7 linked regions of the Canis lupus familiaris genome follow. The protein of the gene in region 1 binds, or shares a complex with, the protein of each later gene. Links are inferred from orthologs where the notes say so. Each region holds a gene or a part of one and is shown in the gene's direction. Other genes may lie near its edges.

Region 1 (3,010 bases):
GCCTGACTTGGGACTCGATCCTGGGACTCCCCGATCTGCTGAGCCACCCAGGGATCCCCCTGGTTTATAGATTATTTACCTATAATCACCTCAGAGTTATCTAACTTTCCTCCTCTTTTCCTATTTCAGATAACCACTGTTAATGTTTAGTGTGTGTCCATTTTTTAGGTGTTTAATGCAAATACATATATATACATATATTCTAAAACAAAAACCAGGTCATGCTGTATGTATTATTTAGCAGCTTACTTTTTTTTTTTTTTTTTTTAAGATTTTTTTTGAGTGGGGGGAGAGAGCACAAGGAATGGGGAGGGGTAGAAGGAGAAGCAGACCCACTGAGCAGGGAGCCCAGTGTGAGACACCATCACAGGGCCCTGGGATCACGACCTGAACCAAAGGCAAATGTTTAACCAACTGAGCCACCCAGGCATCGAGCAGCTTAGTTTTTAAATCTAATGAGTATATTGTGGACATGTTTCTACTTGGGTCTACTTCTTTCCTTAGGGTCACGTTAAGTCACAATTGAGTGGTGTAGTATGAGCTGCTGCTTTAATAGCTAAGCTGTTAATGCAAGACAAAACACCCTTTCCTGTGTCTTATTTGTGTTCACTGTTGCTTTCAGAACAGTAGGAATGTTTAATGGTAGTTAGAAATCAAGGTCAGTGGGCATTATCATGCTAATGTCCCAAATATGATGCTTTATCAGCTGTATTTTCTAGATGTCTTGTTCTTTAGTTGGGAAATCTTATATGATTTAACAATATACATATTAGTTTTTATTAGGGAAGGTAGGTAACTCGGATTATCCTATTTTCAGGTAATTTAAAATTTAGTAAGTGACTTGTAAGTTACTAGACTAACATGTTACTCTCTCTTCTTGACTCAGGTGCCATCTCCTCTGAAGAAATAATTAAATATGCACATAGAATAAGTGCAAGTAATGCTGTGTGTGCTCCACTGACCTGGGTTCCAGGTAAAAACACTTCTCTTTTTATTAGGTATATATGGTTTTGAAAATTCTTAGGTAACTATACTTAAAAATAGGAAAAAAGATTTAAATATAGGATATATTTATCCTTAGAAACATCCTCCGTATATTTTCATATCTTTAATATCTTACAAGTAATAATTTGGGTTATGGGTTTATCAGTTTGGTTTTCTGCAAAGCTTTTGCTATAGAGACTGTGTTTTTGTCCTTTTTAAAGAAAAATCATAAATTGATGTTTAAAAGTACGAGATGATATGTAATGATTCTAAGCTGTAGATTTATATGTCTGTAATACCCAGGCTGGCCAGAAGCCCACTTCTTAGAACCATTGGGATTTCGTCAAGGGTTCTGGCCTTGGAAACGAGACAGTCCCAGATCTTCAGTGATACAGTGAAGCACTGAGTGCTCACAAACAAACACATGGGACTGGAAAGAGCTGGAATAATTAGAAACAACAAAAAGGGGTAACAAACTACAACATACATTGACAGCACATAAAACATTTATAAGACAGGGACCTGCGGTAGAGCAGTAATCTTCTGGGAGGAGTGGGAGAGTATCTCAGCATCAGAATCTCATGATGGTGGCATTTCACCATACTAAAAACACTAAGATTAACTGCAGTTTTGGAGGTGAGTGATCTGGAGTAAGAAATATTACTAAAAAGTTGGTCCAAATCTGCCAAGTTTTCATTATCCCAAAACTATCATGATTAGAAATGAAAGCTCCTGATAAACCTCCACTGGAAAGTTCTAGGAATTAATCTCTAAATGACAAGATCAAAGAGGTTGATTAGAAAAAGTTTTAATTTAGGTAGTCCTTCAAATAAGCAGTCCTTTCTGTCTTGTAAAAAAAAAAACAAAAAAAACAAAACACCATATATTTATTCTCCTTCAGAGTATGTATCATTTGTTCTTACTAGGAAATGTGGGTAACTTAGAAGACTCAAGATCATTATTATTTTCTTAATTTGTCATCTAGAATTGCTAAAATGACACTTTTTTTTTTTTGTATGGAGAATAGTATATTTCTGTGCAGATTCAGAGAAGAAATGCATGTATTTTTAAATTTAATATATTATGCTCTTAATCACAATTGATAAGATGACCTTCCTGTATGAAAATTGAAAATATATTTCTGAGTTTTTCAAAGAGAACCAAGGAAAATCAATACTTCAGAGAAGGTATTGCTGCTTATTTTGCATAAGATTCAATTAAAAGCAGTCTTTTTTTAGGGGACCCACGGAGACCATACCCAACTGATTTAGAGATGAGAAGTGGATTATTGGGTCAAATGAACAATCCTTCCACGAATGGTGTAAATGGTCATTTACCAGGGGATGCACTTGCAGCAGGCAGATTGCCAGGTAATACTAATCAGAATGGGGTTTTCAAACACACCAAAGTTTTTAAGACATGACTGTCTGGCTGTTGAACAAGTTTGAGAGTCTAGACCCAACTCGTTTTAATAGCTAGGTTTTTTGCCAGTTATCCTGCTCTGTAGATCAAAAACTGTTCTAGTTGGAGTTTATGAAATTAGAACAAATTGATTTCTCTGTCATTTATTGATAGTTTATTTGCCTTGGCATTAGGCCTTTAATTATTAAAATCTAAACAGCTTTTTAAATAAAATTGTGAAATATACTGTACCAACAGAATAAGAAATATAAATGTTCATTTTAAAGAATACAAAGTGAAATCACTCTTGAAAAACTCCCAAGTTAACAAAACGAGTAACAACTTTTTACTTTTGAATAACTAAATAGCACTTCTGTGAGACTTGGGCTGTTTTGAATTTCAGCCTTCCTCAAGTTTTACATGTAGTTTTGCGTTATTACATTTATTTTGTTTCCCACCTTTTATCTTCTGTAGGTGACTTGTTTTGATTTGGTAGAACATTTAAAAAGTTTTTTAAAACTGCTTAAAGGACAAACTGAGAGCTCACTGTGCATTAGTTTCCTTTGATATCTTTGCCTTTTTCTCATTTGGGTTATTCCATATCCTGCCAGTCACAGGCCAGTCA
Region 2 (4,024 bases), on another chromosome or scaffold:
TTTATTGAATGGGAAAAATCAGGTTGGTATACAAACTAAACCATTCTTACTACCTAGGGAGCAATTTAATTATTTAGGTTTTCAGTTTAGTAGTTGTAGTTTCCTTTTCTGATCTGAACTGTATAATAATTTTAGGGTTTTGTCAAATAGGAAAATCTGAAAGGAGTCCAATTAGAGTAAAGATCATTATTACACACTTATTATTTTGGTCTCTGAGATAGCAGTGATTGCTAATCAAGTTTTCTGGGTCATTTTTTATCTGTACTCAAAGATACCACTGTGCCTCAGTTTTTCTTTTTAGTGCTTGATTTGGATTTTTAAGCTGGTAGTTTAGGCATAGCTAATTAAACATCACAAGAAAATTATTTGAAGAGCCATTACTTTATGACATTCTTCTTTCAAATTATAAGTGAATGAATATGCAGTTTATTGGAAGAACATTAGTTTAAGCACAGTATTAAGAGATTCCAAGAAAATATTAAGTATTAGATGAAATCAGTATTCTTTTGATACCTTCTAATTGGAAGGAATGGTCCATTGCTGTTTTACATGTACATTTAAGAATGTATATCAAAAAATTTTTTTACAATAATAGAATAGCAGAACATTATAGACCCTGTTTTGTTTTTTTGTGTGTGTGTGTGGCTAGTCCAAAAAGAAGTCATTACTTTTGAAAAAAAGATAGCACAATGTGATCAGTCTCTGGGGAACTAAAAATAATTGTGCTATAGGTAATGCATAGCATATTGAAAATTAAAAATGAAAAAAAAAAAAAAAAGAAAATTAAAAATGAATTAAAATTGTCTACTGCCCCACAGAAATCTGTTAGAGAAGTTTGGAAGCTATGATACAATATATGTACTATGCAGTTTATATAATTAATATTGAGGTCTCCTAGCTATGTATGTGATATTGGCATTAATTACAGTGTAGTAGTAGCTAGTGGGTTTCCTATAATTGAATTCCTTCATGGCCACTCAGTCTATAAAAATGCAAGCCTAGACAGGACTGTGTTTTGAAAATTAGAAAAATTGCAAATGTTCCTATGTGTTTGATTGTAACTGCTTTAGAGTCATAAATGGATTATAGCCTCAGAGGACAAATACAGTGGTAGACTTTTAATTTTAAAAAATGACAAAAATGTAATTGCAAATTAGATGGAAATTTTACCCTATGGTCTTCTAGCTAACTTAGCATCTGAACTCATGTGTTAATGTTCCACTTAAGTTTTCAAAACTCATTGACCAAACCCAGCACCATGTTTTCTTTTTTGTTTTTTGTTTGTTTGTTTGTTTTTTTAGCACCATGTTTTCTTATAAAAACAGTAAAGTTCCCTTGAAAGATTAACATGAAGATTGCTTAGATGTGGAATAAGTAGAAGGAAAATGCTGTAGTGTGTTATTCTTCATGCCATGTTTCTTGCTTTCCCATGTACTTTACTGACTCCTTTGAATCCTTTTTTTTTTTTTTTAAAGAAAAAATTGAATATACCTAGTGATAGCATGCATAAATGGTAAATGTGCAGGCCAGGTGGGGTAATAGTGTGTGTATTCCAGCATCTGTGACACGCACCTGTTCTCATTTGGTATTTCTGTTGCAGTAATGTGCCTAGTGTCGGGAGCCTAGCAGATCCAGACTATCTGAATACACCACAGATGAACACACCAGTGACGTTGAACAGCGCTGCCCCAGCCAGCAACAGTGGAGCAGGAGTTTTGCCATCTCCAGCAACCCCTCGCTTCTCCGTCCCCACACCACGAACCCCCAGGACCCCAAGAACTCCCAGAGGTGGGGGCACTGCCAGTGGTCAAGGGTCAGTTAAATATGATAGCACCGATCAGGGGTCACCAGCCTCTACCCCCTCTACCACACGGCCCCTTAACTCTGTGGAGCCTGCCACCATGCAGCCAATTCCTGAAGCCCACAGTCTCTATGTCACCCTGATTCTCTCAGATTCTGTGATGAATATCTTTAAAGACAGAAATTTTGACAGCTGTTGCATCTGTGCCTGCAACATGAACATCAAAGGGGCGGATGTTGGGCTTTACATCCCTGACTCTTCCAATGAGGACCAATATCGCTGTACCTGTGGGTTTAGTGCGATTATGAATCGTAAACTTGGCTATAATTCGGGACTCTTCCTGGAAGATGAGTTGGATATTTTTGGGAAGAATTCTGATATTGGTCAGGCTGCGGAGAGGCGCTTAATGATGTGTCAGACTACCTTCCTTCCTCAGATGGAAGGAGCCAGAAAATCCCAGGAGCCACCTATAAGCCTTCTCCTCCTCCTCCAGAATCAACATACACAACCTTTTGCTTCACTGAGTTTCCTGGACTATATTTCCTCTAACAGTCGTCAGACTCTTCCCTGTGTAAGCTGGAGTTATGACCGGGTACAAGCAGATAATAATGATTACTGGACGGAATGCTTTAATGCCTTGGAGCAGGGCCGACAGTATGTAGATAATCCCACAGGTGGAAAAGTAGATGAAGCTCTGGTGAGAAGTGCCACTGTACACTCTTGGCCTCATAGTAACGGTAGGTTTCCCAGAATACATATTTACTTTAAAAATTATCTTGGCATGATGGCAAATGATAAACTTTCTTTAGTTTGTTATATGACAGAAGTTTAAGTTTTATTTCTTAAAAAAAAAAAAAGAAAGTAAGATCTCTGTTGAAAATCTTCCTGAATTTAAGGATTGGAGCAAATGTTTTATATTGAAACATCTTTGAGGCAAGTAATTATTTTGTGAAGACTTCTATTAATTCCTATAGACAGTGCGGGGAAACCTACAACTGCTAAGTGTCAGCATCATCGGGAGTACACAGACGAATAGTTTGCACACGTTGCGTGTTTAAATTCACCCATTCTTCTAGATGAGTTGTCCGTGATACTTTCTCCATGAAACCTTCTACCCATTTACCGAGCATTTTCTCCTTCCTGTTTTTCCAGTATTTTGCATCTCTTATAACAATGATCACAGTTTACTTTGTGTTATGGTTCCTGAGGCACGTCACTGACTCTTCTATTATTAAAAGTTCCAGTTGACAAATATCTGTGATGTTGAGCTCTAAGCATGCCATGCAAGTTGCTTTTCCCTTCCCTTCTTCATTCACCATCTATACTGCGATGCATCCTGGGTGATAAAATGACTGAAAGAGACAAGATACCTCTCTGAGGGACTTCCTAATCTGTCCTGGAAAATGGACATCAGATTAAGCAAATAATAACACAGATTAGCATATTAGAAACCCATCATAAGCAATTAGAAAAAAAAACATGGAGTGGGAGGGCCTTCCTAGACTGGGGGTCAGGGAAGACCTCCTTGAAGAAGTAGTAACATTAGAGATCTCAGTGCCAGTACAGATTAACTGGCTAAAGAGGCTAGAGAGGGGATCTCTGGGTGGTGCAGCAGTTTGGCGCCTGCCTTTTGGCAATCCTGGAGACCCGGAATCGAGTCCCACGTCAGGCTCCTGGTGCATGGAGCCTGCTTCTCCCTCTGCCTGTGTCTCTGTCTCTCTCTCTCTGTGTGTGTGACTATCATAAATAAATAAAAATTTCAAAAAAAAAAAAAAAATGAAGAGGCTAGAGAGCAAGGAATTGTATCCCAGACAGAAGGAACAGCAAGAGTGGTATAGAGTTGTATAGAGCTTGGTTCTTTCAAAGAACCGAATGACTCTGTCTCTCTCTCTCTCTCTCTCTCTCTCTCTCTCATTTTTTAAAGGGGGTTGGAACCTGGGTGGCTCAGTCGATTAAGCATCTGACTCTTGATTTCGGCTCAGGTCATGATCACAGGGTTGTGAGATTGAGCCCCAAGTCAGGCTCTGTGCTTGGTTTGGAATTTGCTCCAGATTCTTTGTCTTTCCCCTTCTCTGTTCCCCCCCCCCCCCCAATAAATACATACATCTTCAAAGAACTGAAGGAAACTTGGAGCTGGCTAGATCCCCAAGAGCAATTTGAGACCTGCTGGGGCTGGGGTCTTTATCCCAAGAACCCTAATAAGTCATTGGTGGGTTTATGAAG
Region 3 (3,348 bases), on another chromosome or scaffold:
AATGGTGTTAAAAGCCAGGGAATTAACTAATAATCACCCAAGGGAGAATATAAAACAGAAGTCTAAAACTATTGGCCCACAGACCACAAAGATTGTAGATAAGTTCTTTTTGACCTCACAAGACTTGACCATTTCTAGAACTAATTACCAGTATTTAAAAATTGAGAGATTCTGCATGAAATCTGGATTTTTGCCCTCTTTTAAGAAATAAACTGGGGAGCAATGAGTCTTCATTCCCATATGAAAGCTAATGGCTGGAGACTTTGAGATTTGGCATGCTTATTCATCTGGATCATTGTCCCAGAGTGCTTCACTGTTTATGTTACCTGCAGTTTTGGCACTTGAATTTCTGATTCCCTAATTTAGAGTGAGAAGAGGGCCCCCAGAGCAACACTCTGAGGCATATAACATTAAAATTTGGGTAGAGGAAAGGCACTAAACGGGATTGAGAGGGAGTGGCTACTGAGATAGGAGGAAAACCTAAATGTAGGCTCATGGAAGCTGAGGGAGAAGGGAAGTGTGTTGAAAAAGAAGAAAATACTGATGAAAGATTGAGTAAAATCACTTTAGAAAAATATCCATTGGATTTGCGGTGATTGTTGATGACTTTGAATAGTTTTTGTGGATTTAGGAGGTTGAGGCCAATTTGGATAATGACAAAAATGAATATGCAGGGGAGTGAATTATGAGTTGGTAAAGTTATAGTAGATCATGATGCCTTTGAGCACTGCCTCCTAACTCCACCAAACCTGCTCATTCACCTCACTTCCAAAAAATCCTTTTCACCATCTTGGCTTGGTAGAAACCCAGGGCTGCTCCACAGCTGCCCTTACTCAATATCTCACAAAATTCCGAATGTAAAACTGCCTCCAGTGTAGTAGTATTTGCCATCTTTGGTGTTGGATGGTGGTGTTACACCTTGAAAATCAGGTATGGTCGGTTTAAAGTTAACGTGTCCATAAGAAAATGTAGTGTGCATTGCAGGGAAAAAAGGTATGAAATTGGATCATCATTTCATCAAAGAAGCTCAGGTGATACCAGCTGTCTGAAATACAGCAATGTTAATTTTGTCAAAGTGTTATTAGACTTATAAGTAGGTGTTTGCTTTTGGAATCAATCTATAATATAAAACCAAAAGGATTGTGATACGAGATGGGGAGACAGCATGTGTAATTTGGCTATAGAGAGGTGTGGAAAAGTGATGTAATTAGTGAAGGCTGTGGATTCCAGATTTTATTTATAGATGAAAATATATTTCATATATTTTTTCTTTTTTTTTTACTTCATATATTTTTTGTGTGTGCCAATGAAAGTCTTAAGCAAAGAAGGAGAAATAGTTGGATGATTGAAGATACAATGCTAATTAGAAAAAGATGGCAGCCTGTCCATGTTGTTTTAGAAACTAAAGGGATTGTTTTGTCCTGTGCCCCAAACTGCCAAAGAAAAATAAGAAAAATACTGTCTGTAGTCACCCACTGTGACAGGTTAGTTTTATAACTCTACTCTAAATCTTTGGCTTATTTCCATAGGTTCTTGATCTTCCACTATGGGTGAGCCACAACAAGTGAGTGCCCTTCCACCACCTCCAATGCAGTACATCAAGGAATATACAGATGAAAATATTCAGGAAGGCCTCGCTCCCAAGCCTCCACCTCCAATAAAAGACAGCTATATGATGTTTGGCAATCAGTTCCAATGTGATGATCTTATCATCCGCCCTTTAGAAAGCCAGGGCATCGAACGGCTTCATCCTATGCAGTTTGATCATAAGAAAGAACTGAGAAAACTCAATATGTCAATTCTTATCAATTTCTTAGACCTCTTAGATATCTTGATAAGGAGCCCTGGGAGTATAAAACGAGAAGAGAAACTAGAAGATCTTAAGCTGCTTTTTGTACATGTGCATCATCTCATAAATGAATACCGACCGCACCAAGCAAGAGAGACATTGAGAGTAATGATGGAGGTGCAGAAACGTCAACGCCTTGAAACAGCTGAGCGGTTTCAGAAGCATCTGGAACGAGTCATTGAGATGATTCAGAATTGCTTGGCTTCTTTGCCTGATGATTTGCCCCATTCTGAAGCAGGGATGAGAGTAAAAACTGAACCAATGGATGCTGATGATAGCAACAATTGTACTGGACAGAGTGAACAGCAAAGAGAAAATTCAGGTCATAGGAGAGACCAGATAATAGAGAAGGATGCTGCCTTGTGTGTCCTAATTGATGAAATGAATGAAAGACCATGAAGGATGTTTCTTTTTCTTTTATTTTTCAGTAAATGGCATATATGGTTAATTTGCTTTGGAGAGTTTCAAAAGAGATATAACTAGAAGTCATGTAAATGACTTGACTCTAACTTTATCAATTATGAGATGTCACAGGCTGTAATTTTACTTTATGGCAAGTATAGGCAAATGAGGATATGCATACGTTAAAAGTAATCACCTTAAAAAGCAAAGTGCTGAAATTGTGTGAAACATCCTGGTTTTGGAGTTGCAGAAAACATTAAAGATATCCTCAGTAATAGCAAGCTTTCATCTTTGAAAAGTAGGTTTGTTATTTGATTTAAGAATGATAGATAAATAAAGGATATCAAGCTGTTTAAATGTGAAATTATAAAATCTTTAGATTTATTTTACTTAAAAATTTACTTGATCTCTAAAAAAGTAGTGTAACATGTTAAAAGAGAGGAACCCCATAGATTTATAAAACAGCAATTTTATTTTCCCTCTTGAGTGCTTCTGAAAACCCACTATCTCAGCTTCTTGTTCCTACCGTGGGTAGGTCTCATAACCTGTTTCCAGTCACTCAGATAATAAGTCCTTTGTTTTTTTTTTTTTTTGCAGATAATAAGTCCTTTGAATACTTTTCATTACATTCATTTTAGTAAAATGTCTATGTAATTAGCTATACATTTCCTTTAAAGCTGTACTCAGACTTGCTAAGGCTGGGAGCCTGCAATGAGAAGGGGATTAGTAGCAGAGACTACTAATTGGATTGTGTATTGGAGATGCTTGTTCCCCTGAAATATGGCTGCCATGCCAGGGTCTACATTTTTTCACTCCTTGGGTCTACATACAGCCATAGGACTAAGCTCTTAGCAATGGAATATGAGTGCAAAACTTCAGGCCTCTTGCATAACAATTTTTTTAAAAAAAGATTTATTTATTCACGAGAAACACAAAAGAGAGGGGCAGAGACATAGGCAGAAGCAGGCTCCCTGCAGGGAGCCTGATGCGGGGCTTGATCCCAGGACCCTGGGATCATGACCTGAGCCAAAGGCAGACACTCAACCACAGAGCCACCCAGGTGCCCCCATAACATTTTTTTTTTGTAAGTTCCTCCA
Region 4 (4,608 bases), on another chromosome or scaffold:
TAACTTTTTAGAGAGGTTTGCCAAGCAGATAGAGGTAAAATGATGATGGGATGTTGGGACTCTGCTTTAGAAGGCTTCAGCAGGCACATCTGGGTGGCCCAGTTGGTTAAGCGTCTGCCTTCTGCTTGGCTCAGGATACCAGGGTCCTGGGATTGGGCCTTGTGTAGTCAGTCAGTCTCCCTGCTCAGTGGGGAGCCTGCTTCTCCCTCTCCTCCCTGCTCCTGCTCTCTCTTGCTATCTCTGTCACTATCTCAATCCGTCTCTCTCAAATAAAGTCTTTAAAAAGAATAAAAATAATAAAAGACTTCAGCAAAGAAAATTAAAGCAAAAAGGGACGGATAAGGTAAATGTGACAAAATGGTGATATAACTGTATGCAAGAGGAATGCACCCTTTTATCTTGAAGTACATTACCAAACGGCAGGAGGGCAAGTTATGCTGATTTACAGCCCCTTCTAGACTATGTCTGAGCCCAAACTCCCCCGACTTCATTGGCATCATTCTTTCCGATATTAATTAGCACGACAAAAGCAAAATGCTTTTTAATTGGTGAAGATAAGCAATTTTCAGGGGTTTAATTGCCATTTTAAATTGTTTTGTATGGGAGAAGAGAGAGCCTTCATACCAGTAAAAAAAAAAAAAAGTATTTCTCTTTTCCTACGTTTTTATTGATGAGTAAGTTATATTTATGTAGTAAAATTTCAGTCAATACATGTTACAAACGACTTTCCCAGTTTATCATATTTTTTTTTCAACTTGGCTTATGGAGCCTTTTGAACAAATTGATCAATATTTTACGTTTCCTGGCTTTGCTATGATGATAAACTCTTTTCCCAGTCTTCAGGATTATGCGGTGTGTTCCTTTCTTCCTTCAGCTATTTTTAAGGTTTCATTTGTTGCATTTACATTTTTAATCCACCTGGAATGTATTTATGTTCTAGGCTAGTTTCTGGCCGCTCTCCCAGAAAACAACAATCAGGTGTTGCCTAGCAACCGCCACTTGGGTTGGAATTGGGCTTCTTTGAGAGGGAAGAACAGCTGCACTCCCCTCCGAGTGGCCGGCAACCCCAAGCGTTGCCTAGTAGCGCCATTTCAGAGGATGTGATTGGACCCTTCACACGACCCTCCCCCCATCTCTCCGCGGCAGAAAAAAATTAACCAGAAACCTAATCTCGCCGATAGAAAACTAGGGCAGCGTATGCGTTGCATAGCAACCAGGTCTCCGGCCCCTCCCATTGAAACCAGAGGCGGAGCGGGCGCCTCGCTCAAAGATGGCGGCCGACTACGGCTCTCTCCATGTATGTCACTCTCCACAGTCCTGACAATGACCCAATCTTCCCCGTCAGGCCCCTGAAGGGGTTCGCTATGCTCTTAATCTTGCACGCGGCGGGTACCTACGAGGATGGAGATAGAACCAGCGCGCCCTGCGTGCCCCGCACAAACATGGCCGCGGGCGCGCCGAGCCGCGGCGCTAAGACGTCCCGCGCCGGGGGGCGCGCAGCGCAGGCGCACTTCCGCTCTTTCCACAGCGGCTGCGGCGGCCGCGGCGGTGGCGGCGGTGGCGGCTGCTGCGCGGGGCATGGTCCCCGGGTCGGAGGGCCCGGCCCGCGCCGGGGGCCTCGTGGCTGACGTGGTGTTTGTGATCGAGGGTACAGCCAACCTGGGGCCTTACTTCGAAGGGTTGCGCAAGCACTACCTGCTTCCGGCCATCGAGTGAGTGCCGTTTCCCCGACTTCCAGCCCGGCCCTCCGACTTTAGTTTTCCACAGTCTCTTGCCTGACCCCGACCTTTTACCTCCGACCCTCGCAGGTATTTTAATGGTGGTCCTCCTGCCGAGACGGACTTCGGAGGAGACGTGAGTCTTGGGACTCCTGAGTCTGTAGAAGGAGGGAGGCGGGGACCGGACTCCTGAGTCTGAGGAAGGAGGAGCCCGGGGACCGGACTCCAGGGTCCGAGGGGCGGAGGGGGCCGGGGATGGACTCCAGAGTCTGAGTGGGGAGGAGTCCAGGACCGGACTCCTGAGTCGGAGGGCGGAAGAGCTGGACGGGAGTTCCAGATGAAAAGTTCCTCCCTCCTCCTCTCCCAGTATGGGGGTACCCAGTACAGCCTCGTGGTGTTCAACACGGTGGACTGCGCTCCCGAGTCCTACGTACAGTGTCACGCTCCCACCAGCAGCGCCTATGAGTTTGTCACCTGGCTCGATGGCATTAAGTGAGCATTTTCTTGTGTTAGGGGGTGGGTTGGGGGACCCTGTGAGGGACCATGAACGGATGGCGGCTTGACTTGAGTTTCAGGAACCGTCGCTCACACTGGGTGGCTGAAAGGACTGAGAGGGATTGTTTTTGTCCATAAGTCACTTCTGTGGTGGGTTCCGTGTGCTCAGCGTTTTTGCCCTCCGATGTGGAAGTAGAAAAATCTTCTCAGTTTGGGAGGCCTGTTGAGCTCCAGCTCCGATCTCGTACTGTGTGGTTCTCCGCATTTGGTCGGCTGTTCCTCATCTCCACCGTAGTATTCCTATTTCACATGGGCCTCTTGAAGCCTGAGTGCAAGGGGGGCGTGGGGCCTAGGCCAGGATAGATCTCTCTGTGCTCTGAATGGGATTTGGAATGTTCACATTGCAGGCTCCCGCGGGTACAGATAGCCTGTGGTCATATCACAGCTAAACCATCAAACTCCCAGACCCAAGAGTCCCTGCTCCCTTTGTGCCTAATGTAGTTTATCTCTTGTCGCTTTATTTATTTTTTTTAAGATTTTATTTATTTATTTATGAGAGACACAGAGAGAGATGCAGAGACATAGGCAGAGGGAGAAGCAGGCTCCCTGCAAGGAGCCCAATGCGGGACTCGATCCTGGACCCCAGGATCATGCCCTGAGTCAAAGGCAGATGCTCAACCACTGAGCTACCCAGGCGTCCCTATCTCCTGTCTCTTTAAAGGGGGGGATTAACATTATAGTACTTGTGTTAATTATTTATTGTGTTATTTATTCTTTGTTGTGTAACACATTATCCCAAAACTTAGTTGCTCAAAACAATAAACGTTGATTATCTCATGCCATTTCTGTAAGTAAGGAATTCAGGACTGGCCTAGCTGGATAGTTCTGGCTCAGGGCCTCATGAGGTTGCAGTCATGCAAGGGACCAATTTGTTTTCAAGGTAGCTCACTCTGTGGCTGGGGGAATGTTCTCCTGACGTGGCAGCTGGCTTATTTCAGACGAAGCAACACAACAGAGAGGGCAAAGAGGAAGCTACAAGAGTTTTTATGATCGAGTTTTAGAAGCCACACAGCGTTGTCTCTGCCACATTCTGTTTGGTAGAGAAGTCAGTCCTGTTCAGTGCAGGGAGCATGAGGGGAGGTGAATCTCAAGGGTGTGAATAACAGGAGGTGGGGATTGTTGGGGGTGGGGGGTGCTAGCTACCATGACTTCATAGGCATAGGCATTCTTTGGGAATTGAATGAGTTAGTTGGCTACTACTTAAAACAGCACCTGACATGTATTAAGTGCTATGTTAGTGTTCACTGTTGTTTCATGCCTGTTTCTTGGTTTGTGAATAGATAATGGTAGTTCAAATGTCCATGCTCTCTGGAGGATCACAGGAACTAATTTTCCTATGGTGCCTTCATACTGCCTAGCCCAGGTCTGGTCTGTGGTTAGAGTTCATGAAACGGCACTGGTTCATGATGGCTCTTCTCTTCATTCGTTTGTACGGCAAGAGTTTGCTACTTAGCAAACTGAGTGCCTGCTCTGTTCCAGGCTATGTGTGTGCAGGACTAGGTGCTGCACGCCCACTGGGAAGTTGACACCCAAGTTTGACCCCTCATGGCCATTAGAACTAGTAGTCAGGACAGAGTAGGATTTCCCAACCTCAGTACTGTTGACACTTTGGGCCAAATAATTCATTATTGTGGGGGATTGTCCACATGGCAGGATGTTCAGTAGCCTCCCTGGCCTCTAGCCACCAGGTGCCAAGAGCCACCTCCAAGTTGTGACCAACAAAAACGTCTACAGATGATTGTCAGCTGTCCCCTGAGGCAGGGGGTAGGGAAGGACAAAATCCACCCCAAATGAGAAGTACCGAGATAGGTTGTTTTAAGACATGAATAATGGTAAGACGGGACTCCCTGATGCCCAAGTTCAAGTCTGATGTCTAAGTCCCTAGCGCCAAGCACAAGGTCTGGCACCAGGGCGGTCTAAGGAGAACTGGGTGGAATGAGGGAATATGTGAGTGAATGCCCAGAATGCATTTTATATATATATATATAAATTTTTTTTTTAAGATTTTACTTATTTATTTGAGAGGGAGACAGAGTGTGGCAGAGGGAGAGGGAGAAGCAGACTCCCCTCTGAGCAGAGAGCCTGAAGCCGAAACCTGGGCTCAATCCCAGGACTCTGAGATCATGACCTGAGTCAAAGGCAGATGCTTCACTGATGGATCCGCCCAGGCGCCCCCTGAATGCACTTTATACTCTGATTCTTCCCAGTGAACTATAAGCTTCAGGACCCAACTCAGAGGTCCCTTCCCTGATGCTGGCAAGCAGCCATCACTCCCTCCTCTGGGCCTGCCCCTCCCAGCCGTCCCCTGTCGCAGCCCCATGCCTCTGGACTATGA
Region 5 (4,566 bases), on another chromosome or scaffold:
CAAGACTACCCCATATTAGTTAAAACAAATTAGAGCTATCTCTCATTACTCCCATTATGTGGGAGTAGGTTACTCACCTGGAGAGGTTCCTAATTAGGTCCCAGCAGATACTGTGGATTGGGGATTGAGGGGAAGGAATGGTAAAGTAGAAGTAGCGCTTCCCAGCTAGGACTAGGGCAAATGTGACAAATTGAGTTTTCAATGGATAATTCCCACCTTCCCCCAACTCCAGTAGGATAATCAGGGATAATCAGCCAGATAGGGAGGGTGTATATGTCTATCCCAAGTCCACAAACCAGTCATTTGCTGATTCCAGGTTTATTTCTTGTCACAGTATCCCCTAGCTATAACTTTCCTTAGATACCAAGTTCTGTTTTTTCTTTTCTTTTTTTATTTTTTTAAGTAGTCTCTACACATCCAACCTGGGGCTACGTGGAACATAGGACCGGGAGATCAAGTGCACATGCTCCACTCACTGAACCAGCCAGGTGCTCCAGATACCAAGTTCCTATTATCTTCCTTCACACTAAATCCTCAATAGGTCTCACGGCTAAGTATAAATTGCACACCTTATCTGTTTAAAAATTGTCCCTGCCCTTACCTACACATAAGGCTCATTTTCCAGGAACCTCCTCCACTCTCCTCTCCACCAACCTTCTTCTGTTCTTTCTACTGAGTTCCTCGCTGTCAGAGGAGCGAGATTTTTATTAGTTAACTGCACTCACACCTTACCTCTGAACTCCAGATGCCACTCTTCTGCTACTCACTTTGCCTATAGAAACCTTCCTTTTCCAACTTTTTTTTTTTTTTAAGATTTTATTTATTTATTAGAGAGAGGCAGAGACACAGGTAGAGGGAAGAAGCAGGCTCCACGCAGCAAGCCCGACGTAGGACTCGATCCCGGGTCTCCAAGATCACGCCCCGGGCTGAAGGCGGCGCTAAGCCACTGAGCCACCCAGGCTGCCCCCAACCATTTTCTTCTTACGCGGTCAATACAGCTCGATTTAGTGCTTAGTTGTTTTGGACGCTTTCCATCCCATGTGTGTCAGCTTCCCCAGCACACCCACATTCAGAATTAAAGCACGCACCCAGTCTTCACCTGGGTGGCCCATCACCCCCTCCACCCCCACCCCCCCAGAGGAGACACCCTAACACAGCCAAGATTGCCTGGTGAATTTTAATTTGGATTTGTTGAAGTTAAAATCGGGATCGCGACCCCCAAGTATTCCTGAGTTGGTTGCTGTGTATATATTTGGTGATCCACCTGGAAATCCAAAGTAACGTAAGTATTCAAGGCAATGTTTAAAAACGAATATACACGGGAAGATGGGGAAAATCACTTCTAAAAACTGCAGCATCTAACCATCTCCGTAAAATTGTCTACCACCCGAAAACCTCGAGAACGAGTCTGCTGGACCCAAAACGAAGGAACTCGGAACCCCCACCCCAAAGTCACTCAAAATAACCTCCGCGAGGCGCCTTCGCGGGCGGAGCTGCCCGAAACACAGCCTCGCAAAAGTCCCACCCGCGCTCTACTCGCCGGGCGCGGAGGGCCGCTGACTCCACCCCCTCCGAGAACGCTGGCCTGTGATTGGCTACGACGCTTCCTGAAGCCGCCCAATAGCGAGCGAGCAGCTGCTTTAGCCTCCGGAGCTTGCAGGAGGAACATGGCGGACCGGCTCACACAGCTGCAGGACGCGGTGAACTCGGTGAGCGATTTTGCTCTGTTGGTCTCTGTCTTCCCCTTTCTTAAGGTAAAACGAGGGCAAAGGGCCCCGGGAAAAACACACGAAAGTGGGGAGCGGACTGGGGCAGGGCTTCCGCAGAAAGCGCTGGCGGCGGCGGGAGGCGGCGCGGCGTCCTGGGAGGTTTGAGGCCGGCTGCCGGCTTCGCGGAGAGCTGAGGGAGCAGCAGCCTCTTTCACCGGAAAAGTAGGGGGTCTCTCTGTCAGGACACTTAGGCGTCACGGTCCTGTCCTGTTCTCTGGGAACAGTTTTATTTTACTGCCAGTCGTACTTCTGGGCTCACTTCTCTTTCGGGGGTAAGGGGGAAAGCGGCAGAAGCTCCTTGTTTCCCTTATCAGTGTTAAGCCGCGAAGGAGAAACTGTGCTCCTGACGATTGGATATTTTTTTGTTAAATGTCAGCCGAGAGTATTCCTGCGTCAGGACTTTGCAGGTTGAGCCTGGAGTGATGGTGAGGTGAGAAATTCTGTTTCCTCTTCGTTGGTTCCCAGAGACAAAGGGTCTCGTTCCCATCTCTTGGCGCTCCCTGGCATCAATCAGTTTGGGGAAAACTGACATCTTTAGGAGAGTGAATCTTCTAATCCTTGCGTATGTTCCCATTTATTTAAGTCTTTAATGTGTCGCAAAAAGTCTACTTTCTGTTAAGGGTCAGATCTTGTAAGCCGACCCCCTTACTTTGATCCTTATTATTTTTTTCCTGTTATGCCTGACTGGAAAGTACATGCGAACCAGAGGATTCATGTGCTCATGACCATAAAGAGTTCAACAGTTTGCCATTAGTTATATTTCTCATTGTCAATCTGTTTTTTTTTTTTTTTAAGGTTTTATTTATTCATGAGAAAGAGAAGTACAATCCATGCAAGGGAGCCCGACGCGGGACTCGATCTGGGGTCTCCAGGATCACACCCTGGGCCGAAGGCGGCGCTAAACCGCTGAGCCACCCGGGCCTGCCAATCTGTTTATAATTTGATATCCCAGGTCAAATGTCTTTAGAGAGAGAATATGTTGACTGGAAAATCGAAGTATCTGTTCCCTTGCCAGTTTTTTTCACACCGGAAGATAAGAAGTTAGGATTCTTGTTGCATCCATCTTTGTTCACTTCAAATGAGGGGGGAATCGACTTGTGAAAAACTGATTTACTCCGGGCGGCCCCGGGTGGCTTAGCGGTTTAGCGCCACCTTCAGCCCGGGGTGTGATCTGGAGACTCAGGATCGAGTCCCACCTCAGGCTCCCTGCATGGAGTGGGCTTGTGTCTGTGCCTCTCTCCCTCTCCCCCCCCCCCCCCCCCCCCCCCCGTCTCTCAATAAATAGTCTTAAAAAAAATAAAATAAAACTGACTTACTCCGTAAATAAAATAAGACCTTTTAGGACTGAGAGGGCTAGCCCCTAAAGGTTGATGAAGTCACTAAGATAAATTCTACTTTATGGTGACATGCGTGGGCTGCCAGCCAACTTCCTTCTGGGAGATATTACTTTGAGGCTCTTCAGAATCAAATTGTAACGATGCTGCTGGGCAGAAATGTTATTTTAGGAGAAATGTTGCATATTCATACATGTCTTGTAACCAGAGAGATAATAGGAGACAGTGAATATGGCCTTGACTCCAGGGTAAGCATGCTGATAATTGGATTTTGGAGAGAAATCTCTAGGTTAACTAGTGTGAATGCCTAATGTGTATGTAAGCACTCTCATGTTTACAGAAAAATACTCCTTGGGGAGTTTACAGTCTAATTGGAATGATGTCATATACTCAAGACATTTAAATAATTTAAAAGTAGGATTTGGTTAGGTGTTTATAATGAATCAAGCGCCTTCAAATGTAAGTGCTGAGGTAAATTGGAATAGAGAGTGATATGAACTGAGTAAAGGAAATCTTCTAAGCATTGATCTGAATTGTAATTATTTGTAAAATTATTAAAGTTATTTGTTTTACCCCCTGAGAACTCCATGAGGGCAGAAGCTGTGCCTTTGTTCATTGTTTCATTATAATGTTTATTACAATGCTTGTCATAGAGTTGATTTTTTTAATATTTATTGAATAAATGGATCTTGAGAGAGCTTTTGAAGAACACAACAGATAGCCACTGTGTTGAATATTTATGCTTGTGTGTTTTCTTTATTCCTCAGAACAGTGGTGTAATGTGAAAATGTTCCCAGTTTAAAAATTAAAAACTGTACTCAGGTTACTAGAACCAGAATTGGAATCCACATCTGTACAGCTTCTAAGCACTTAATACTGTGCCATTACAAGTAGCAAAACATGAGCAACACAGTATAGTCTGGAATGAATTTATCACTAGTTAGGTATATATGAAGGAATTAGTAGAAAATGAAGAAGTAGAGTTGACTTAGATTATCGAAAGCTTTGAAATAGCCTGAAGGGTTGGAGATTAATCTTAAAGGCCATGTTGGGGTGAGCTCAAATTTAAAAAAAAAATTTTTTTTTAAAGATTTATTTGAGGGCAGCCCAGATGGCTCAGCGGTTTAGTGCCGCCTTCAGCCCAGGGCGTGATCCTGGAGTTCCGGGATCGAGTCCTGCATTGGGCTCCCTGCATGGAGCCTGCTTCTCCCTCTGCCTGTGTCTCTGCCTCTCTCTGTCTCTCTCTTCTCTGTGTATTCTCATGAATAAATAAAATCTTTAAAAAAAAATAAAGATTTATTTGAGAGAGAGAGAATACAAGTGGGAGGGGCAAAGGGGGAGGGAGAGAATATTGAGCAGACTCCTTGCTGAGAGTGGAGCCCTACACAGGGCCTGATCTCATAACCCTGACATCACTACCTGAGCTGAAACCAGGAGTTGGACAATTAACCAACTATACCACC
Region 6 (4,024 bases), on another chromosome or scaffold:
TAAATAAACCCAAATGTACCTTTGGGTTATCTCCATGGTAATAAAGTTGAAAGCTAAAACATTTAAAAAGCTCCATACCCACGTTATTTCATGGTTATATGTTTTCCCATTTTCAAGAGGATCTGCTACTGAAATCACTTCACACAGAAAAAAAGCTTTCCAGTTCTCTTTATGAAGCTACAATAACATTGATAAAATCTAGCAAAGGTAGCACTAAGAACAGTCTCCGTTTTGAATATTGATGTAAACATCATAAAGTATTAACAAGTAGAGCCTAACATCATACTAGTAATTTAAAAAAGGCAGTGATTTTGTAGAAATATAGTCGATATTAGGAAATATGTTAATAGACAGTGAAGGCATCAGAAGACGTCTATTAAAATTCAACATCTCTTCTTGACTAAAATAGGATGCTTTCTTAACATGGTAAGAGCATCAAAGCATGAATGATAAGAGATATTTAATGGTGAAACATTAGGAAAATTAGAGTGCCTGCTTAACATTGTTCTGAATTGCTACTCAATATAATTAATAGAATGAGATATAAAAAATGACAAAATTGTCATCCTATACAGATAAAATTAACCAGAAAATTCAGTTAATTGACAAATTATTATAAATAATATTTAATAAAGTGACCAGGGATCCCTGGGTGGCGCAGTGGTTTGGTGCCTGCCTTTGGCCCGGGGCGCGATCCTGGAGACCCGGGATCGAATCCCACGTCAGGCTCCCTGTCAGGCTCCCGGTGCATGGAGCCTGCTTCTCCCTCTGCCTGTGTCTCTGCCTCTCTCTCTCTCACTGTGTGCCTATCATAAGTAAATAAAAAAAATTAAAAAATAAAAAATAAAATGACCAGTTACAAAATGTAAAAAGTGGAAAGCTTTCTTTTAAATGAATGATGGAAACATAAAATACAATAACAGTGGGAAATATGAAATACACAATAAACTAAAGAAATGTGCGGGATCTATAGGAAGAAAATTTTTAAATTATGTAGTAGAAAATTTTTAAATTATGTAGTAGTAAAGATTTTAATAAATGGAGTTTGAATTCTAGTGTTGTAAAGATAGCATTTCTCCCTATATTGATGTGTAAATTTAATGCAATCCCAAACAATTTTGAATGAGTTTCCTTTTTTGGGACTTAACATACTTCTAAAGTTCAAGCCTTAGAATAATAAATGTAATAGAATATGTAGAAATTTTCTAAAGAATAGTAAGCAGCAAGGAGGGTATTTTCCATACCAGATTTCATTAATTTAATTTTTTTTCAATAATTTAATTTTATGTTTTAAAATAGCGTGGCATAGAAATAAGAAAAATTGAAAGAAAAAAGCCTTAAGTGATTGGAAAATGTAGGTGATTTTTTTTTTTTTTTAAGTCATTTTGTGTCAGGGAAGGCCTTCCCATTTGTGACAAGCATAACATCAAAGTACAATATGGGTTGGTGTTAAGTGTTCATATTTCTGTATTACAAATTAAATATTAAGAGATCATGAACTTGGGAAATGTTTTCAGTGTATTTGACAAATGATTTACTAACCATAATTTGCAAATTACATGAGAAGAATCTTTTAATCATGAAAAAGACCATCCCATTAGAAAAACTGTTGTTAGAATTACAGTGTACAAAAGAAGAACTGTATTTAGCCAATAAGGCCTGGAAAAATGTTTAACCTCAGAAGTAAACTAAAAAACAAAATCCCCTAAAACAGTAAGATACTACTTTGCCTTTAAGTTGTACAGTATTTAGAAGATTAACCGTAACCCATAGGGGGTTTAAGTATTTTAAAACACTCTCATGTACTGTTAATAGGAATGGAAATTGGTATGATGTATGGAATACAAACTGAATATGTAAAAGTTATCAGCAAAACCAACCAATCAGTTCTATTTCTAGGAAATTATTTTAAATATATTATTAACCAAATGTACAAGGGTGAAGTACAAAGATATTCATTAAAGTCTTATTTTTAATTATAAAAGATTATAAGCTACATATCTATTAATAGGAATTAACTAAATAAATAATCCATCCATAATGATGTGCAGCGATTTAAAGAGATGCTGAATAACAAATTTGTTGACATGGAAAGACTTCCAGTACATACTGAGTGACAAAGGCAAGTTGCAGAGTGGTTTTTTGGGTCATTTCAATTTCATATCTGGTTAAAAATAGTAGACTTAACTAGGCAAGTGGAGGCTATTAGTGTAATAAATTATGAAGCAGCTTTTAACATGATTGGAATTTGTGAAGTCGAAAAATTAAATACTGTAGTTACTCATGAACAACTAAGAAAAGATACTTCAAATCTAAGGTATCCTCATTTAGTGCCAAATAACTATACTATTATTTTATGTATCACTAGGAAAAAAATAAACGTGCTGCCAATTAAAAGCCTAAGGCATCACTGACTGTAAGATCTTTCTTGATATCAGAGTCTTAAAACCAATGCAAAAACAGTGTAAGGTAGTGAGAAAGAGAATGAAAAAGGCAAAATTAGAGTGGAATTTTTTCAGAGCATATTTACATTCATTAGTGAGATGATTCTCAGTTTCAAGAAATGTAGAAAATCCTGTCTTCAGAGTTTACTTCTGGCATTTTGTATTTCTTAGAATGTTCACAACTTGTTCAGTCTTAGAATGTTTTTTGTGACTTAGTTGATTTTCTGTAACGTGTCTTAACATCTTTGTTCTTGTAGTTTGCAATGGATTTTGGATAAACAAGATCTGTTGAAGGAACGCCAGAAGGATTTAAAGTTTCTCTCAGAAGAAGAGTATTGGAAATTACAAATATTTTTTACAAATGGTAAAAAAAATAAATAACTGAAATGGTATAGTTGTTTACCTCTGAATTAAAACTTTTGTATAGTGGGATCCCTGGGTGGCGCAGCGGTTTGGTGCCTGCCTTTGGCCCAGGGCGCGATCCTGGAGACCCGGGATTGAATCCCACATCCGGCTCCCGGAGCCTGGAGCCTGCTTCTCCCTCTGCCTGTGTCTCTGCCTCTCTCTCTCTCTCTCTCTCTCTCTGTGTGACTTATCATGAATAAATAAACAAAATCTTTAAAAAAAAAAAAAAAACTTTTGTATAGTAATCTATGGTGAGCTGTTTTAGTCCCTACTTAACATTTTTATTTATACATGTATTCTTTTCATAACTTATATTTATCTTTCTAAGTGATATAAAGTCTGTTGTGAATCTTACATGTCAGGGACACTCAAGACAGTTTGAAAGTGTCATTAATCTCTCTAAACCTTTATAATATGTTATTAAGTCTAATTTAAGATTGGCTAAAGCAAGTATTTTGAGGATAAATGGATTCTTTGGGTTGACCTCCTATGTTGGTCATTTTTATCTTACAAGTTTGCTTTGGAGGGAAGGGGGTTTAGACTCAGAAGATCCTTGCTCTGCCATGTAGCTTTGTTACCTGATCTTTCTAAAACCAGTTCACTTTTCTGCATACCCGCCTTTCTATTATTTTGAGAATTCATTATGGACTTTTTAATAAACTTTATAAAGTGGTAGTTGAGGTGAATTTGATAGCTGTCTAACATTTTACTTTTGCTTTTATTCTAAAGATAATATGAAAAAAAAAAAAAGAAAAACACTGAAAATACTTAGAAGATAGAGGGAAATACCTATCATTCAATCTTCTTAATATAAGAATAGTGTTTGCTTTGGGGACAGTTTCTATTTTTTATTGTTGTTTATGCATACTTATATTCTTTTAACAGATTTGCAAATCCTAGTCCTAACCCAGTGTGATCCAAGTAGAGCTTTAAACCATATGTAGGTTTTTCTCTTTGTTAAAAATTAATATAGTTATGATTTACCACATGAAAGTTATTGTTCAATGTTAATATCATAATGATAACAAAAGAACATTTAAAACTTTATTATTTTTCTTTTAGTTATTCAGGCATTAGGTGAACATCTTAAATTAAGACAACAAGTTATTGCCACTGCTACGGTCTATTTCAAGAGATTCTATGCCAGGTAGGACTTTTATTTTGAGATTATGTTA
Region 7 (4,497 bases), on another chromosome or scaffold:
TAGCTCAAATGTTACCTCCTCCAATATGTTGTCCTCTACCCTAACAGGATTAATTTGTTTTCCCGTTGTGATTCAATAGCATTTTGTTGGTGTTACTTTGATTTGTTGTTTGCTAGTTTTGTTATTTTTAAATGTGTTGTTATCTCTTACTTTTATTTTTTTTAATTTTTTATTTATTTTATGATAGTCACACGGAGAAAGAGAGAGAGAACAGAGACACAGGCAGAGGGAGAAGCAGGCTCCATGCATCAGGAGCCCGATGTGGGATTCGATCCCGGGTCTCCAGGATCGCGCCCTAGGTCAAAGGCAGGTGCCAAACCGCTGCGCCACCCAGGGATCCCTCTTACTTTTATTATAGCATTCTGTCCTTTCTCTAAAGAGCAATGCCATCACAGAAAGGGTACTGGCCCAAGAGTCAAGGAAAAAATCTTAGCCTCAGCTCTCACAGTACCTGAATGATATCAGGCAAGTGAACTTTCACTCTTTGAAAATCAGCTTCCTCATCCGCAAAATGGAGACCATTATAATCTCTAACTCATGGGGCTGTTTGCAGATTAAAGATGATGGCCGAAAGTATCTGACACTTAGTAGGTGCCTCTTTCTCAACCAGGAGTTCGTGGGCACTTAAGGAATGCATTAATGACCTTTAAGGGCTCTAAGAATGTCCCTGCAAAGTATCTAACATTTTGTACTCCTCTGTAATTTTTCTGGGAAGGGCCAAAGCGTCCATCAGCATCTTTTTTTTTTTAAGGTATTTATTTATTTATTTATGATAGTCACAGAGAGAGAGGCAGAGACACAGGCAGAGGGAGAAGCAGGCTCCATGCACCGGGAGCCCGACGTGGGATTCGATCCCGGGCCTCCAGGATCACGCCCTGGGCCAAAGGCAGGCGCCAAACCGCTGCGCCACCCAGGGATCCCATCCATCAGCATCTTAAAGGGGTTGTGAATTAGACAAGGTTAAGAACCTCGGTGCCAGACTATAAAGACCTTGAGGAATTAGGGCTGGCCTTTCAGGGGTTTAATAGATACTTTCTTATGCAAAAGGTTTCTAATCTTCACAATAGCCCTTTGAGGGAAGCAACAGAACACCCATTTTTCAGATGCAGAAACTCAGAAAGGAAGAAGTGGTTTAGAGTAAAAGACAGAGTCCCTAACTGATGCAAATACACTGGAGCACCGATTCCAGGCCCAAAACCCAGCGAAGCCCCGAGACCCCAGTTTCAGCCAGAGCTCGGCGCCGCGGCTGCCTGCCTCCTCGCGGGGTCGCACCCCCGCCGGCCCACTGGCCCGCCCCAGGCTGTGTCACAGACTTGGGGAGTGAAATTGATTTTCGGCCGCGCGGAGCTCCGCCCCACGCCGGGCTGGGCCCCGCCCCCGCTGCAGTCGGTATTGTCCGACGGTTCCCGGCGTCCCTCGGTTCTCCTCGGTAGTTTCCGGCAACGATCGAGAGTTTCTAACGTCCCCCCTGTTGTCTCTCGGCTGCGGTCCTCGCAACCGCCGCCCCCCTTTTCGGTTCCCTCTCCCCCTCCCCCCTCAGCCGGCCCCGGCAGGCGCCTCTGGCGCTACGGGCTGGGCAAGATGGCGGCCTTCGGGATCTTGAGCTACGAACACCGGCCACTGAAGCGGCCGCGGCTGGGCCCTCCCGATGTGTACCCGCAAGATCCCAAACAGAAGGAGGTGCGTTCAAAAATCGGGGCTCTCGAGGGGCCTGAGGCGGGCGATCGGCAGAGGAGGAAGCATTGATGGTTGGGGGGGGCGGGGCGGTTCGGTGGGAGCCAAAGTCCCAAAACGGGTTAAGAGTAAAGTGGGCTGGTGTAGGAGAGTGGGACCTGGTGGGGGGGAGGAGGCTCTTGGGTGTGAATAGGGAATGATGTAGGGGCCACGCCGGAGGCGCCCCCCTCCACACACACACACACACACACCTCAGAAAGTTGTCTCAGGCAGCTTGGCGAGCTGCGGCTGCTTGCAAGCTTGCAAGGAAGAGTGATACTGAGCGAGCGCTGGGTGGTTGGAAATCTTAGTGACTGTGGGGGTGAGGGTGGGGTCCAAAGGAATATAAGGGCCTAGCTTTAAATAACAATCTGCTCTACTCAGAGTCCTCCTACCTTTTTTCCCCCTCCGTTGTTCTCTTCTCCTGCCCTCCTCTTCCACCACCACCACCCCCAAGGGGGAAAAAATAAAATAAAGGAAAAGCTAAAATGTCTTTTTCCTGCCTCAGGATGAACTGACAGCCTTGAATGTAAAACAAGGTTTCAATAACCAGCCTGCTGTCTCTGGGGATGAACATGGCAGTGCCAAGAACGTCAACTTCAATCCTGCCAAGGTGAGACAACCCTGCCAAGCTGAAGAAAAAGGCTGGAAGAATCTGAGGAGGGGCAAAGGCCCTGGGTTGGGAAGAACCAAAGGGATGACCTGAATGGCTGGCTGAGTGTTCCTTCGTGGCTTCATGCCGCCACATTGGTATTTGCCTGTCAGAGGCGTGAGTGCCTCTCTGCCCCTTCTTCCCACCCTGAAGTATAGTTTTCTTTCCTCAGATCAGTTCCAACTTCAGCAGCATTATTGCAGAGAAGTTACGTTGTAACACTCTCCCTGACACTGGTCGCAGGAAGCCCCAAGTGAACCAGAAGGACAACTTCTGGCTGGTGACTGCACGATCCCAGAGTGCCATTAACACCTGGTTCACTGACCTGGCTGGCACCAAGCCACTCACACAACTAGCCAAAAAGGTGAGGTGCTAGTTCCTGATCTCCAGGCCAAGGTGGGGAGCATGGGTATGAAGTAACTATCCTATTCCCAGATGAAGCTACATGGTTGCCAGCTTGTGGTAGTCATAGAGATCTCACTGTTTACAATGTCTGTCCAGGTCCCCATTTTCAGTAAGAAGGAAGAAGTCTTTGGGTACTTAGCCAAATACACAGTGCCTGTGATGCGGGCCGCCTGGCTCATCAAGATGACCTGTGCCTACTATGCAGCAATTACTGAGACCAAGGTTAAGAAGAGACATGTCATTGACCCCTTCATGGGTGAGTACCTCCTAATACCATGGGTCCCACCACTGATGGCATCAAGGAGTGACAGAGAGACCCTTGGTATTGTTCTCCTTCCTCAATACTAAGGGTCTCTCTGATGTTTCTGCTTGCATCTTACACTCAATTGGTAAATACTGAGTACCTTGAGTATCTACTGGGTACATGTCCCAGGCTGTCAAGGTGATTGGTACCTTATTCCCACCATCAGGGTGCTTCTTATCTGATAGGGATGCTAAGGCATGTGTATGAGTCCCATAATTAAACATAGAAAGTGTGTCTATGTGTATGTATGTGTGCGTGTCTCAAAAGAGCAGGTGAAAGGTTTTTTGAGATTTCAGTGGACAGAAAGATTACTTTCTTTGGAGGACACCTGGGAAGGCTTCAGGAAGGTGGCGTTTGGCCAGAGCCTAGGAGGATGAATAGGATTTAGAAGTATGGCAATTGGGGGGTGGTTGGCGTGGGCATGGGAGAGGGACACAGAAGATGTTCTAAGGAGAGGGATGGTATAAAATAGCCCCTGTTCCCGTCTTTCCCCTAGAATGGACTCAGATCATCACCAAGTACTTATGGGAGCAGCTGCAAAAGATGGCTGAATATTACCGTCCAGGGCCCACAGGCAGTGGGGGCTGTGGTTCCACTATAGGGCCCTTGCCCCATGACATAGAGGTGGCTATCCGGCAGTGGGACTACAATGAGAAGCTGGCAATGTTCATGTTTCAGGTAGGAAGAAGGGCATGTCCCTTGAAGCCATGGTGGAGCCTGGCCTCACATTCTGCTAGTCCAGGACAGAGTCTACCTGTCAGCTTGGCCTAGATGTGGCTCTCTTCCTCCTTTCATTTACTTTGTTTGCCTTATCTCTAATAGTCCCCCCCAGGGAAACTAATACTCTTCCTACCCCTTGGACCATAGGATGGAATGCTGGACAGACACGAGTTCCTGACCTGGGTACTTGAGTGTTTTGAGAAAATCCGTCCTGGAGAGGATGAATTGCTTAAACTGCTGCTGCCCCTGCTGCTCCGAGTAAGGCCTAGGATTTGGGGGCACGGCGGCGGGGGGCGGGGAAGGTGGGGAGCCTAGGGAGGGTTTGAGGAGGAATAAGATGTGAGTTCAATGTCCCTTGTAGAGACCTGGGGGTTTTAATCGGCATGTCTTTACAGTACTCGGGGGAATTCGTTCAGTCTGCATACCTCTCCCGCCGCCTTGCCTACTTCTGTACCCGGAGACTGGCCTTGCAACTGGACGGCATGAGCACTCACTCATCTCACGTTATATCCGCTCAGTCGACAAGCACACTGCCCACCACCCCTGCTCCTCAGCCCCCAACCAGCAGCACACCCTCTACACCCTTTAGTGACCTACTGATGTGCCCTCAGCACCGGCCCCTGGTTTTTGGCCTCAGCTGTATCCTTCAGGTAGGTGCCAGGTGGGCCCAAGGAGGCATTAAGAGGCATCCTGAGAAGAGTGG

The links.
Region 2: MED4 (region 1) and MED13L share a complex: the UniProt entries of both Homo sapiens proteins name them as parts of the mediator complex. The link is inferred for Canis lupus familiaris from reciprocal best matches to the Homo sapiens genes MED4 and MED13L.
Region 3: MED4 (region 1) and MED7 share a complex: the UniProt entries of both Homo sapiens proteins name them as parts of the mediator complex. The link is inferred for Canis lupus familiaris from reciprocal best matches to the Homo sapiens genes MED4 and MED7.
Region 4: MED4 (region 1) and MED25 share a complex: the UniProt entries of both Homo sapiens proteins name them as parts of the mediator complex. The link is inferred for Canis lupus familiaris from reciprocal best matches to the Homo sapiens genes MED4 and MED25.
Region 5: MED4 (region 1) and MED21 share a complex: the UniProt entries of both Homo sapiens proteins name them as parts of the mediator complex. The link is inferred for Canis lupus familiaris from reciprocal best matches to the Homo sapiens genes MED4 and MED21.
Region 6: MED4 (region 1) and CCNC share a complex: the UniProt entries of both Homo sapiens proteins name them as parts of the mediator complex. The link is inferred for Canis lupus familiaris from reciprocal best matches to the Homo sapiens genes MED4 and CCNC.
Region 7: MED4 (region 1) and MED12 share a complex: the UniProt entries of both Homo sapiens proteins name them as parts of the mediator complex. The link is inferred for Canis lupus familiaris from reciprocal best matches to the Homo sapiens genes MED4 and MED12.

What each region holds. Positions count from the first base shown.
Region 1 is NC_049243.1:3,372,976-3,375,985, forward strand, and holds part of MED4 (mediator of RNA polymerase II transcription subunit 4), read left to right. Parts: intron 1-886; coding exon 887-973; intron 974-2,222; coding exon 2,223-2,354; intron 2,355-2,545; exon of another isoform or gene 2,546-3,010. UniProt on the Homo sapiens protein: Component of the Mediator complex, a coactivator involved in the regulated transcription of nearly all RNA polymerase II-dependent genes.
Region 2 is NC_049247.1:13,132,241-13,136,264, reverse strand, and holds part of MED13L (mediator of RNA polymerase II transcription subunit 13-like), read left to right. Parts: intron 1-1,600; coding exon 1,601-2,538; intron 2,539-4,024. UniProt on the Homo sapiens protein: Component of the Mediator complex, a coactivator involved in the regulated transcription of nearly all RNA polymerase II-dependent genes.
Region 3 is NC_049225.1:53,888,234-53,891,581, forward strand, and holds the end of MED7 (mediator of RNA polymerase II transcription subunit 7), read left to right. Parts: intron 1-1,529; 5' UTR 1,530-1,546; coding exon 1,547-2,248; 3' UTR 2,249-2,615; downstream 2,616-3,348. UniProt on the Homo sapiens protein: Component of the Mediator complex, a coactivator involved in the regulated transcription of nearly all RNA polymerase II-dependent genes.
Region 4 is NC_049222.1:107,412,481-107,417,088, reverse strand, and holds the start of MED25 (mediator of RNA polymerase II transcription subunit 25), read left to right. Parts: upstream 1-1,521; 5' UTR 1,522-1,578; coding exon 1,579-1,712; intron 1,713-1,808; coding exon 1,809-1,854; intron 1,855-2,085; coding exon 2,086-2,210; intron 2,211-4,608. UniProt on the Homo sapiens protein: Component of the Mediator complex, a coactivator involved in the regulated transcription of nearly all RNA polymerase II-dependent genes.
Region 5 is NC_049248.1:25,930,334-25,934,899, forward strand, and holds the start of MED21 (mediator of RNA polymerase II transcription subunit 21), read left to right. Parts: upstream 1-1,648; 5' UTR 1,649-1,667; coding exon 1,668-1,709; intron 1,710-4,566. UniProt on the Homo sapiens protein: Component of the Mediator complex, a coactivator involved in the regulated transcription of nearly all RNA polymerase II-dependent genes.
Region 6 is NC_049233.1:58,029,027-58,033,050, reverse strand, and holds part of CCNC (cyclin-C), read left to right. Parts: intron 1-2,701; coding exon 2,702-2,808; intron 2,809-3,911; coding exon 3,912-3,996; intron 3,997-4,024. UniProt on the Homo sapiens protein: Component of the Mediator complex, a coactivator involved in regulated gene transcription of nearly all RNA polymerase II-dependent genes.
Region 7 is NC_049260.1:55,681,962-55,686,458, forward strand, and holds the start of MED12 (mediator of RNA polymerase II transcription subunit 12), read left to right. Parts: upstream 1-1,376; 5' UTR 1,377-1,581; coding exon 1,582-1,680; intron 1,681-2,221; coding exon 2,222-2,326; intron 2,327-2,537; coding exon 2,538-2,729; intron 2,730-2,866; coding exon 2,867-3,026; intron 3,027-3,570; coding exon 3,571-3,752; intron 3,753-3,941; coding exon 3,942-4,052; intron 4,053-4,189; coding exon 4,190-4,444; intron 4,445-4,497. UniProt on the Homo sapiens protein: Component of the Mediator complex, a coactivator involved in the regulated transcription of nearly all RNA polymerase II-dependent genes.